Arabidopsis thaliana: one gene and its partner. The protein of the gene in region 2 purifies or fractionates together with the protein of the main gene of each other region. This does not show direct contact. Each region holds a gene or a part of one and is shown on either strand. Other genes may lie near its edges. The genes, in order: scpl35 and AT2G26380.

The links.
Region 1: the proteins of AT2G26380 (region 2) and scpl35 fractionate together in Arabidopsis thaliana (co-fractionation; one large-scale study listed by BioGRID). This does not show direct contact.

The regions. Positions count from the first base shown.
Region 1 is NC_003076.8:2,655,452-2,662,239, forward strand, and holds scpl35 (serine carboxypeptidase-like 35), read left to right. Parts: upstream 1-1,602; 5' UTR 1,603-1,784; coding exon 1,785-2,058; intron 2,059-3,983; coding exon 3,984-4,091; intron 4,092-4,192; coding exon 4,193-4,381; intron 4,382-4,510; coding exon 4,511-4,599; intron 4,600-4,708; coding exon 4,709-5,002; intron 5,003-5,105; coding exon 5,106-5,242; intron 5,243-5,372; coding exon 5,373-5,465; intron 5,466-5,562; coding exon 5,563-5,821; 3' UTR 5,822-5,986; downstream 5,987-6,788. Other genes in the region: AT5G08250 (Cytochrome P450 superfamily protein), read right to left, coding at 1-330; AT5G08270 (C5orf35), read left to right, coding at 6,296-6,340, 6,654-6,748. UniProt on the Arabidopsis thaliana protein: Probable carboxypeptidase.
Region 2 is NC_003071.7:11,225,916-11,230,114, forward strand, and holds AT2G26380 (Leucine-rich repeat (LRR) family protein), read right to left. Parts: upstream 2,209-4,199; 5' UTR 2,143-2,208; coding exon 700-2,142; 3' UTR 573-699; downstream 1-572. Other genes in the region: AT2G26370 (MD-2-related lipid recognition domain-containing protein), read left to right, coding at 12-137; AT2G26390 (Serine protease inhibitor (SERPIN) family protein), read right to left, coding at 3,172-3,960, 4,196-4,199.

The DNA of each region.
Region 1 (6,788 bases), on a different chromosome or scaffold from region 2:
GCAGTTGAGGGTGCTAAACCAAGGACCTCTAAACCGGAATGTCCCGTTTTGGCTGATAAGAACATCAGACAGCCATTCGTATATGTTGCTTCGTACCGCGGATATCAACGAAGGAAGCATGCCAACCAACGGCCAAACGGGCATCCCTTGGTGTTTCTTCTGGCGCAAGGAATGTATTGTCGCAAACACGAAAAAGGCAATAAAGAGCTCAAGAATCTGAACATCTCTCAGGGAAAACAGCCTCCTTGAAACCAGAAGTTCGTCGCTTCCGAAACAAGAAGAGGACACGGCAGTAGCCGTGAGATTATAAGAAGAAAAACTAAGATTCATAGTGACAAAGAAGGAACAAAGAAACAGAGTGTGTATAATTTTTTTGCAGAGAGAAAGAGAAAGAGAGATAAGAAATAATGAAGTTGTTAGTTAATTTAGTAGGTGAAGAATGTGAAATGAGGGAAGAAGGATTTAAGACGCATAAGTTTCGTGTTTGGCTCTCAATGTGAAATTGGGTTTGATTTGGTGAGCTAAAAAAAGTTCGTTGCTCTTTTCTAACGGTCTTTTAAATTTGTGTGGCTCTTTATTCTCGTGTTTTGCTATGTTTTCGTTTTGGTCTTTTGAAAGGACGAATCTTTTGGAGGGGATTAACTAGAAAATTAGGAAAATTAGAATTAGGGTTTTAGACTTGAGGATTGTTGATAAAAGAGAAATTGACAGGTGGGTAGTGACGGATCACCTAAGTTCTTGTTTATTTGTTATACACTTTATTTTATTTTGTCAAACAACTTGTTTAATTTATACGTGTGGAAATTGGAATTGGAAGAATATTAATAGTGAGTAATTCAAATAAACAGAATTTTTTTGGATACTACTGTACTATTTTAAACCTGGCGGTGAAGCCGTTGTTGTTTGAATTTAGGTTATCTGCATATATCTGGTGAATAATTGTTTTCGAACAATTTGGGCTTAGAAAACATATGGGCCTATCAATAAAGTATCGGGCCTTTGATATATATAAAATTTCATTAACCTCATTATTAATGTATTTTGGGCCTTACAGGCCCTCTGGCCTCTTCTAGGTGACTATAGCATCAATAAATGATTCTCATTAAGCCGCCAATTTCTCTGGCCTCTTCTAGGTGACTATAGCATCAATAAATTATTCCCGAGACAATTGCGAATAAACCACTTTCTTTGGAAATTATCATTGAGATCAACATAAAACATAAGCTTTGTTTATATGACAATGCTGTTGTTTTAAAGCTCTACGGTAGTACTACACATGTAATTTAATGAATTTTAATTGATTTCTAAACAGTACGAGCAATTTGTGTGTTGAATTCAACTTTGATTATATGGTTTATAAAACCTTGTTTTGGGAGATGAAATTCTGAATTAAGAAAAATAAAGAAGAAAGCATTTAATTTGCCGATGGCTCCATCTCCATAGCCATGTGGTTCAGTCTCCGATGATGACATCTCAAGCGTTGAAATTCAATTCCATCTTTCTGTAAAAGGTGAGAAAATTGGTAGTGAACCAACCATGTTATCGGAGACCGTGGAGGCACATTACAAGGAAATGATTATGAAATGTGTTTATTGTTATAACATTTTCACGTGAGTATCAAAAAAAAAATCTCATGAAAAATAAAAGACTTTTAAAGTTTTTTTTAATATAAAAAAAGACAGTATAAAGTAGAAGAAGTGGGGGCGTTTTCTCATCTGCTCTTCATTTCGATAAATAATTGAAAAGAACAAAAGAAACAAAAGAGACGAGAAAGAGTTTTGGCGATGAAGAAGAACGCACTTTGGCTACTGTGCATTCTGGTGTTACCGGCGATAGCCTGTGGTAGGAAACCGGAGAAGAAGGTAACAATTTCATCCTCTGGGAGGAAGGAAGATGACCTTGTAACCGGTTTGCCCGGCCAACCACCGGTTAACTTCAAACACTACGCCGGTTACGTGAATCTGGGGCCTGAACAGAAGCAAAAGGCACTTTTCTATTGGTTCTTCGAAGCTCAACAAAACTCTTCTCGTCGTCCTCTCGTCCTTTGGCTCAATGGAGGTCAGTTTCTCTTCCTCTCTCGCTCATTTACATAAAGTATATTTTATTTGAAGTAGTAATACAAACTTATCATTGTTCTCAATTGGAATTTTCATTCGAAACTTCATTGTTTCTGCGGTTTTACAAATATGTTTACCAATTTTAAAATGATAGCACCTTTTTTGAAACGGATGATGTGATGATTATGTTTGCAATAAAAAAATCAGTGTAATGAAAGATTAATGAACTCTCAAGCTCGTGCCTCGTGGGCCATGGTAATTAGGTTAATACATATGTCTAATCACACCATCACGTATTGACCACAAAACTCTGTGCCTGCAGGCCGTGATGTTGGGAAAATAATAGATAAAACTTGCACGAAAAAGAAAAAGAAAAAACACTAAACATAGAGAAATGTTTTCGGCAGTTGTATTTTCTTGGATACATAATTGAATTTGGACTAAAATTTTAATTATTTATATAGCTAACTCTTAGAAAACATCAAGTTGTGTACATTGTCCTACCAAACTCCATCGTCTGTCTCCTTACCCTGCCTTGTAACTTGCCAAGCAGTTCCTTTCGTTTCAGTAACAATAAAATTTTACTGTAATTGTATCGCAACGAGATAGTAAAGGGTCGTTTCGATGCAGTTGTTTTTGTTTTAAATTTTCCAAAAATTACAAGTCTATCAAATAGCCAAAACTTAAAGTAGTCTATTGTTTGTACAGTTATATATCGCTATTCTTAATAATCTGTAACTTATAGATGCCGTGTATGGCTTGATAAAAATAGCCAGAAACACCATTAAGTGATACACTGATACTATTCAACATTTTTGTTCCTTACTATTGCTTGATGGAGAAGTGATAACAAATCTGATACAGTTGGGAATGCCGACAAATTTTAATTGCCTACTTTAATAATATTTCGTTTTGTGGAACGCACTTCAACAATCTGTAGTCTGTATACGGTGGAACGAGTAGGTTCTTGCCTCTTCGGGACAAATATAGTCCAGTCCTCGTTTTCTTAACGTGAAATCTCAAAACCATAGCTTAAAACAAGTTGTATTTGAAAATGAGCTTCGATCTAATTAAGTGAACAAAAGTTATTCACAAAAATTAAAATTAACCTGTTTAAATACATCATATTTTTTCGTGAAGATTCAGTGAAATAAAACACTATACTATAACCCAACAACATATTTGGAAAAAATATCAACGAAGTCGTATATGGTCCGGCTCTCTGACAGATATTGGACTTGTATCATTCAATCAGTGTCCTTTTTGTGTAACATTCAATGTCCAAATCTTGTTTCTAGAGTGAGTAAAGATCTTTTGTCTGTTTCTTCTTTTTCTCTCGGTAGTTGTACATTCAATTTAACGAATTTACTTTATACGGTTTGTCTTTTTTCCCACACGGTTCATTCCAATATTAGGATATTTAGGGATACGAGAAATATCAACCTAGTCTTTTTTATTGGGGCTAGAAATCGGATAAGATGTTGAATATTCAATTATACACTTAGAAATAAACAAAAAGCTATGTCTAATAATAATGTGGAGTTGTGTACATGTCTAGTTTGAACAGAAAGATTGAAATTTGTTAATAATGAGGTATTACCTTTATAGGATTTGCGTGATTGAAGGGTACACACGAATCCAATGTAATCAAGAGCAATAGCAAAATCTTTAGTTATTTAATTTCTGTATACGAAAATGATATTTGAATCTTGATAGACAACTCGGGACAAAATACTGACGTCTAGCTAGCTAGTCTCATTAATTTTATTTTTTCTCGACAAATTTAGTTGTTTAGTTTTGGATTTTCTTGACAAATCTAGCGATGGAATTGAAAATAGCAATTTTCTTTAGTGAATTGTATTATTACATATTTGGTGAAACTCTTAAATTATTTTCATCAGTTTAACTAAAATCCAAAATATGCAGGACCGGGTTGCTCATCAATAGCCTATGGAGCTGCACAAGAACTAGGCCCTTTTCTTGTTCACGACAACGGTGGCAAACTTACCTACAATCATTTCTCTTGGAACAAAGGTAAAATGAATTATTACCATACTATCAGAAACATTTGAATTCTTTAGCTAACATGTATACTAATATTAACCGTGGTTACATTAAAAAAAATGTTTGTGCAGAGGCCAATATGTTGTTCTTGGAAGCGCCGGTTGGGGTTGGGTTCTCGTATACCAATAACTCAATGGATCTTCAAAAGCTTGGAGATGAAGTTACTGCATCGGACTCTCTTGCTTTCCTGATCAACTGGTTCATGAAATTCCCCGAGTTCCGATCCAGCGAGTTCTACATCTCTGGCGAGAGTTACGCCGGTAAGTGCTTTATCCGATTTTAATTCTTGATTTATGAATTATATCACCTAATATAAAAGAATTAATCTTGTATATTAATATTATATAAAACAAAGATTGAATCACATGCTTTTGATCTTCTTTTCTCAGGTCACTATGTTCCTCAGCTCGCGGAGGTAATTTACGACAGGAACAAGAAGGTTACGAAAGACTCTAGCATTAATCTCAAGGGATTCATGGTATGCACTCTATATATATGTATACTACTAGTAAGGTTACTTGCGAAACGAGGAAGCAACGTTTCTTGTGCTATAAGTAAACATAAAAGGTATTCGTTTGATGTTGCAGATAGGGAACGCGGTGATCAATGAGGCAACAGACATGGCAGGACTAGTGGACTACGCATGGAGCCACGCTATAATATCGGACGAGGTCCACACCAGCATCCATGGCTCGTGCAGTTTTGAGGAAGATACCACCAACAAGACCGAACAATGCTACAACAATTTCAAAGGGTTCATGGATGCTTACAATGATATCGATATATACAGTATCTACACTCCCGTTTGCCTCTCCTCTTTGTTGTCATCTTCTCCAAGAAAACCTAAAATCGTCGTGTCTCCTCGTCTCCTTACTTTTGACGTACGTAATCTACAATACAATATAGTATCATTGTAACATAATGTAATTACCATAATCTCTCTTCTTACTTTTTCTTACCAATTCTTCTCTTTTGATGGTTTAGGATTTGTGGGACAAGTTTCCGGCCGGGTACGATCCATGCACTGAAAGTTATGCCGAGAATTACTTTAACCGGAAAGATGTGCAGGTTGCACTCCATGCGAACGTCACCAACCTTCCTTATCCGTACTCTCCTTGCAGGTTAGTCCTCCTTACGTTACGTGGTACTAACTAAAATTAATAGCTAGCTAGAGACTTTGTATGTTAAGTTTAATGTCATGTTTCTAATGAACAAAGTATATATATATATGATCTTGTGGGTGTGATTCAGCGGAGTAATAAAGAGATGGAGTGATGCTCCATCCACCATGATTCCCATCATACAAAAGCTTTTGACGGGTGGCCTCCGTATCTGGATCTATAGGTATCTATATCTTTCTTTAACTGTTTTAAAAATTACGTGAAAAATTCATATATATTGTCAATTAGTTTAATGTTCACTGGTTCAATGTTGGCTATAGTGGAGATACGGATGGGAGAGTTCCGGTAACATCTACACGTTATAGCATAAAAAAGATGGGACTTAAGGTCGAGTCACCGTGGAGGTCATGGTTCCACAAGAGTCAAGTAGCTGGATGGGTTGAGACTTATGCCGGTGGACTAAATTTTGTCACGGTGAGAGGAGCCGGTCACCAGGTTCCGGCCTTGGCTCCGGCGCAATCTCTCACATTATTCTCTCACTTCATTTCTTCTGTCCCCTTGCCTTCAAAACGGTTCTGATATCAGTACCGTCAAGTCATGATGGCAAGTTGTTGTTGTTGTTTTGGAACCTTCGTTTAGCACTCTCCCAATTGATTTTATGAATTTCAATTGATGAATAAAGATTCTTCAACTTTTAGTTATATAATAAGGCTTTTACCTTTCTACGCACGTTTTTCGTTGTTTAATAATTTCCAGTATTTCAATTTTCAATAATCAACAAATCAGTAGTCTACTTCATTAATTTTGGAACTCAATGAAAATTTTCAAATTAATTTTAATATGAATGAAATAAATTAGGGGGAGACGGCCCTTAAGGCCCATTATAAATTTAGAGGGCCATTAAGGCCCATTAACACAAATTAAACCCAGTCATGGAGCTGAGGCAGTAGCGTTCGTTTTTTTGGAATCAATCACCGAAAGAGATCTTTCAACTGAAGCACCTGCGATTCATCTTCTTCTCTGCCCGTCGTTTCAACGTGAGGAGAAAAAAGAATGGCGTTTGCAAAAATGATGTTTCTTTTCGGAAAATTTCAGCAGGTGAATATATGAAGTTCTTATCTTCTAATCTGACTTATTTTTGAAACTTCCTCTCTGGTACGTGTTTTTTGATGTTGGGTATGAAGAAAGTTCGAGGCTTTTCAAAGGATTTAGTCTTCACTGTAATATGATTCCTGTGACTATATTTTGTAGCTTGTATAGACTTCAGAACATATGTGAGTACTTGAAAATGATTGAATTCTCAATGATTTGCTTTCTGTCCATAAAATGTAATTTGAAGTTGCTCATACGATAATAATAGGCATTGTCAATTTTGATTCAATGGTGAATTTGCTTTTAATTTTCTTTTCAGGGTGTTGGTGTTCTAGCAAAGAGTACCACTTTTGCTAAGAATCCAAGGCAACTGCAATTTGAAGCCGACATTAACAAATTGTTTATGTTTACAAGGTTGGTATTTTTTTGGTATAGATTAAGAGCTTTTGAACAA
Region 2 (4,199 bases):
AAACTAATTAGAAGGATAAGTCCAAGATTGTCATATCCCTTGTTGATGAATATGGTGATGACGCTGAAGTGCCACTGCTAAAAATGTGTGTTGAGTTCGATAACCCTGCTCCAACTACAACATCGGTCTCTGCTTGATTAAATCCAATTGGCTTATGGAAATATGTTTTCAATTCTTCATATGACACTCCCGTATTACTTGCATTTTTTTTTCCCTTTTCGTGTTGTTCAACAAATAAAAGAAATATTGAATTTATAGTTTTATACGACTCTCTCGTTAATTACTAGCATCCTTTTTATATTTCAGTAACTATATAGAAAAAAATTCTAACGCATTTGCTAAAAATAAGCTACAACAACAAATCTCTAGCTATGTTTTTATCGCAAATAAGCTACAACAACATAATAAGCTACATTTGCACATGAATAAACGATGCACGAATCTGTCTCACCTTGTTTTATACGTATAGAGCGCACTTGTTTTCTAGAAACTTTTCCATTATAATTGATTAGTTCAGAAAAAAATTAGAAGATTTGAAGGTGTTGTGTGGCGATATTCATATACCAAAATCAGTAACACAAAATCAGTAAATAAAGGAACTTAAAGAGAATACGAAAATTAAACAAAGACAAAAGAAGAATATGGAACTTGTGACACATGAAGTTCAAAAACAATATAACATGACGATGAATGAATCCATTAACCTTTACAATGACTTAGCGGGGAGCCGCATAGACAGTCGTTGCCGGCAAACACACTTTCTGGAAACTTTGTCACCGGAAGTTTCCCACAAAGATGGTTTTGACTCAAGTTAAGTGTCTTTAATCCGGCCACCCTCGCCGGCACTTTCCCGAACACTAAGTTCCTTGATAGATCAAGCGTCTCGAGCGTCGTCGAGAAACTTAGCTTCCTCAAATCGAATCGGAGTTTGTTCCCCGACATTCGAAACTCCCGTAGTTGCTCTGCTCCCTTCAAGAACCTCAGTGGACTCCCTGAGATCTCGTTGTCCGAAAGATCAATGGAAACGTAGAGATCAGTTTGCCTTGTTTTCCAATCGTCTAAGCTCATCTTGATTCCACATTTAGCCAACTTCAAAGAGCCGAGGATCGACGCTGAGGTCACCCATTCCGGGATTGTTTCCATGTGAAACTTGTTGTACGACAGATCTAGAGTCAAGATGTAATTCTTCACGTTCAAAACAGGGAATGGATTGGTTAGAAGATTGTGAGAGAGATTGATATTAGCAATTTTAGTCAGCTTGGCCAAACTCTTCGGCACGGCTCCAGAGAAACGGTTCTTGGAGAGATCCAGTGTGTCGAGCGCCACGAATCTTGATAAATAGCTCGGTATCGACCCCGAGAGATTGTTCTGACCTAGCTCAAGGAACGCAAGAACCGGCGCGAGCGATGCAATCGACGGAGGGAGCTTCCCGGAGAATCTGTTGCGTGAGAGAGTGAGGATTCGAAGGTTAGTCATTGATTTGAAAATATCCGGGATGGTTCCAGAGAGACGGTTTCCATCGAGATTAAGATTCGAAATGAGCTTGAGATTAGCAATCCCTAACGGTATTGTTCCGGTTAAGAGATTACCGCCAAGATTTAGGTAGTTTAACCGAGTTAAATTGGATATGGAACTCGGGATTGAACCGATGAACCGGTTTCCTTTAACGGTTAATGTATCTAAGCGGTTAAGCGCGCCGATGTTGGCTGGAAGAGGACCAGAGAGACGTGTATTCTCGAGGTAAACATACTTTAGATGTGGTAATCTGAATAAAAATGGTGGAAATGGTCCTGTGATGTTTTTGAGATTGATAAAGACGACCCCTTCCAAATGCTGGAGTTTGGCCAGTGACGGAGAGATTGTGCCAGAGAGAAAGATTCCGGCATCGTCGGACTCTATGCGGATAGTGAGTACGACGACACGGTTGCCGTTAGGGCAACTGACACCGTTCCAAGAGCAGCAATCAGTACCTTTTTTCCAAGTGCTTAGAATACCTGAAGGATCTTTGGTTATACCCGATTTAAAAGCTAATAGACCCGCCTCATCATCAGGATGACACGTGGCTGCTGCGGTGGGGTTTAAACACCGGAGAAAGATCACGGCGGTGAAAATGAAGAAGTTGTGGAAAGAACAAGAGTTCATGGTAGTGAATTTTATTTTTTGTAGTGAGGTTGAGAGAAGCAATTAGCAAACTGATAGCTAATTAGTCTAAAGAGAGATTAGACTCGACACCAATTAATATCAAATAGTCAAAGTTGACCCATTTGGACCAATCCATTTGCGCGTAACGATTAATACAGTGTAAAGATAATTAAATAACAGTATAAAACGTGACAAAAATAAAAACTATATAGCATAATAACTACCAATTATCTTTTGTCAAAAGGTTGTTTTGACAAAAAGGGTCTTTTGACATTATTTAAGATTATTTAGTATTTTATAGGAGGGATGTTTAATATTGACCGTTATAGGTTATAAACTCTGTAGAAAAAAGTATTCTTAGTAGTGACTTTTTGGTAAGATAATCCTTTTAAATGGTACTAATATAATGGGACAACATTTGGCATGTGGGAAAAGAAATATACAAATGAATGCTAAAAGGTACCGCTAGAGCCTAGAAGTTCAATATACAAATGAAAGAATATCAATAAAAGAAACCGAGGATAAAGCAAAAGAGAAAGGAGAGATGAATATTAAAACGCTAATTCATGATGTAGAATGTAGATGATGGCAATGTTCTCACCAAGATTGTCTGCCTTAAAGTCGGAAAAAGGTAGATTCGACGTAAACCCATATTTTGATAAAGGTTTATAAGACCAATATGCCATAGATTTAAAAATGATTCGGGATATATAAAAATGCAGAGAATATGTGTAATCTATTTGCTGAGATTTTCAAGATAAATTGCTCCGGATTGTAGTTCATTTGATAGAAAATGAGGACAATGGTTTCTAGACAAGAACGTACACTATTAGAACTTACACAAAGCAATAAAAAGAAGAAGAAGCAAACTTAGTTTCACCAAACCATAAATATAGACAAAATACAACAAACATATTTCATAATGTTTTCTCCAGCTAAGTAGGAGACACAATGGAAAAGCACACTAAGACCACGGGGTTTCCTACATTATTGCAAACCGAACAACGCTCATCACACGACATAGTTCAATCAATGTTTAGAAGGATCAAGAACTTGACCAATGAACAAAATTACTCCACTATTGTCTTCTCTCACAGTGAACAGAAATGGATGGTCAGCTACAAAATCCGGGTTCCGCATCAAACATTGGGGCATCATGATGGCAACAGAGACCGCTGCAGCTTCGGTTCCCTCTTCATCCACCTCAATGCAAGCTTTATGAATAATGCTTGAGACGTGCAGTTTATCACCGTTCGAAGGCGAATCAACCATCTCAGTTAAATTACCTTTGGAAGTAAATGGAGAAGTAAGCCCCATGTCTTTCAAAACTTCTGAAGCTTTAAACTCAAAAGAGAAGTTCAACTTCGGAATTCTCAAAGCATCGACTGGTGTACGGTGAAGTGGAATATGGCTATCAAGAAATCCTGGTTCAGTGCTTATTTTCTCAAGCAGAGCAGCTAGTCCGTCTTTGTCATTAGGAAGATAAATGTACATGGAGAAATGACGTTTATCCTCTACATAAGGTAGGCGCAAAACTTGGAAACCATCATAGCCTCTTAGATATTGGTCCTTATAACTCATCATGAAGGGGACTTTTACCGTGTTACCGTCAAGAAGATGAAAATCGTTATCTTTTGTTAGTTTTGCATCAAATTTTCTACTCCATGCTGCTTTGAAGTACACTGCATTTGCTAGAATAAGTGTGCTATTACGGATCTCCTTGATAGTATCGGTACAATCGCGTGAAAGAATCTGCTTGATGAGTCCATTTGTGTGGACGTCAGCCCATATATTTACCTCATCAATCACTTCAACAGGCTTCATGACCAAGCGATAAAAATTGACCAATCATTAGTGAAGTTGGATGTCATATATACACAAGAAATTGAAGAAATAAAAAAAGAGAATGTGATATAGCCGTCTCCTTCGTAACCACATTAAACGTCTTAAATAACACGAACATTCACCTTTATATATCTATGTTATAGGGATTAGTCTAAGTTTCGGTCCCATAATAATTGAAGCAAAATTTATCCCTAACGAAAAAAGTTACCTTG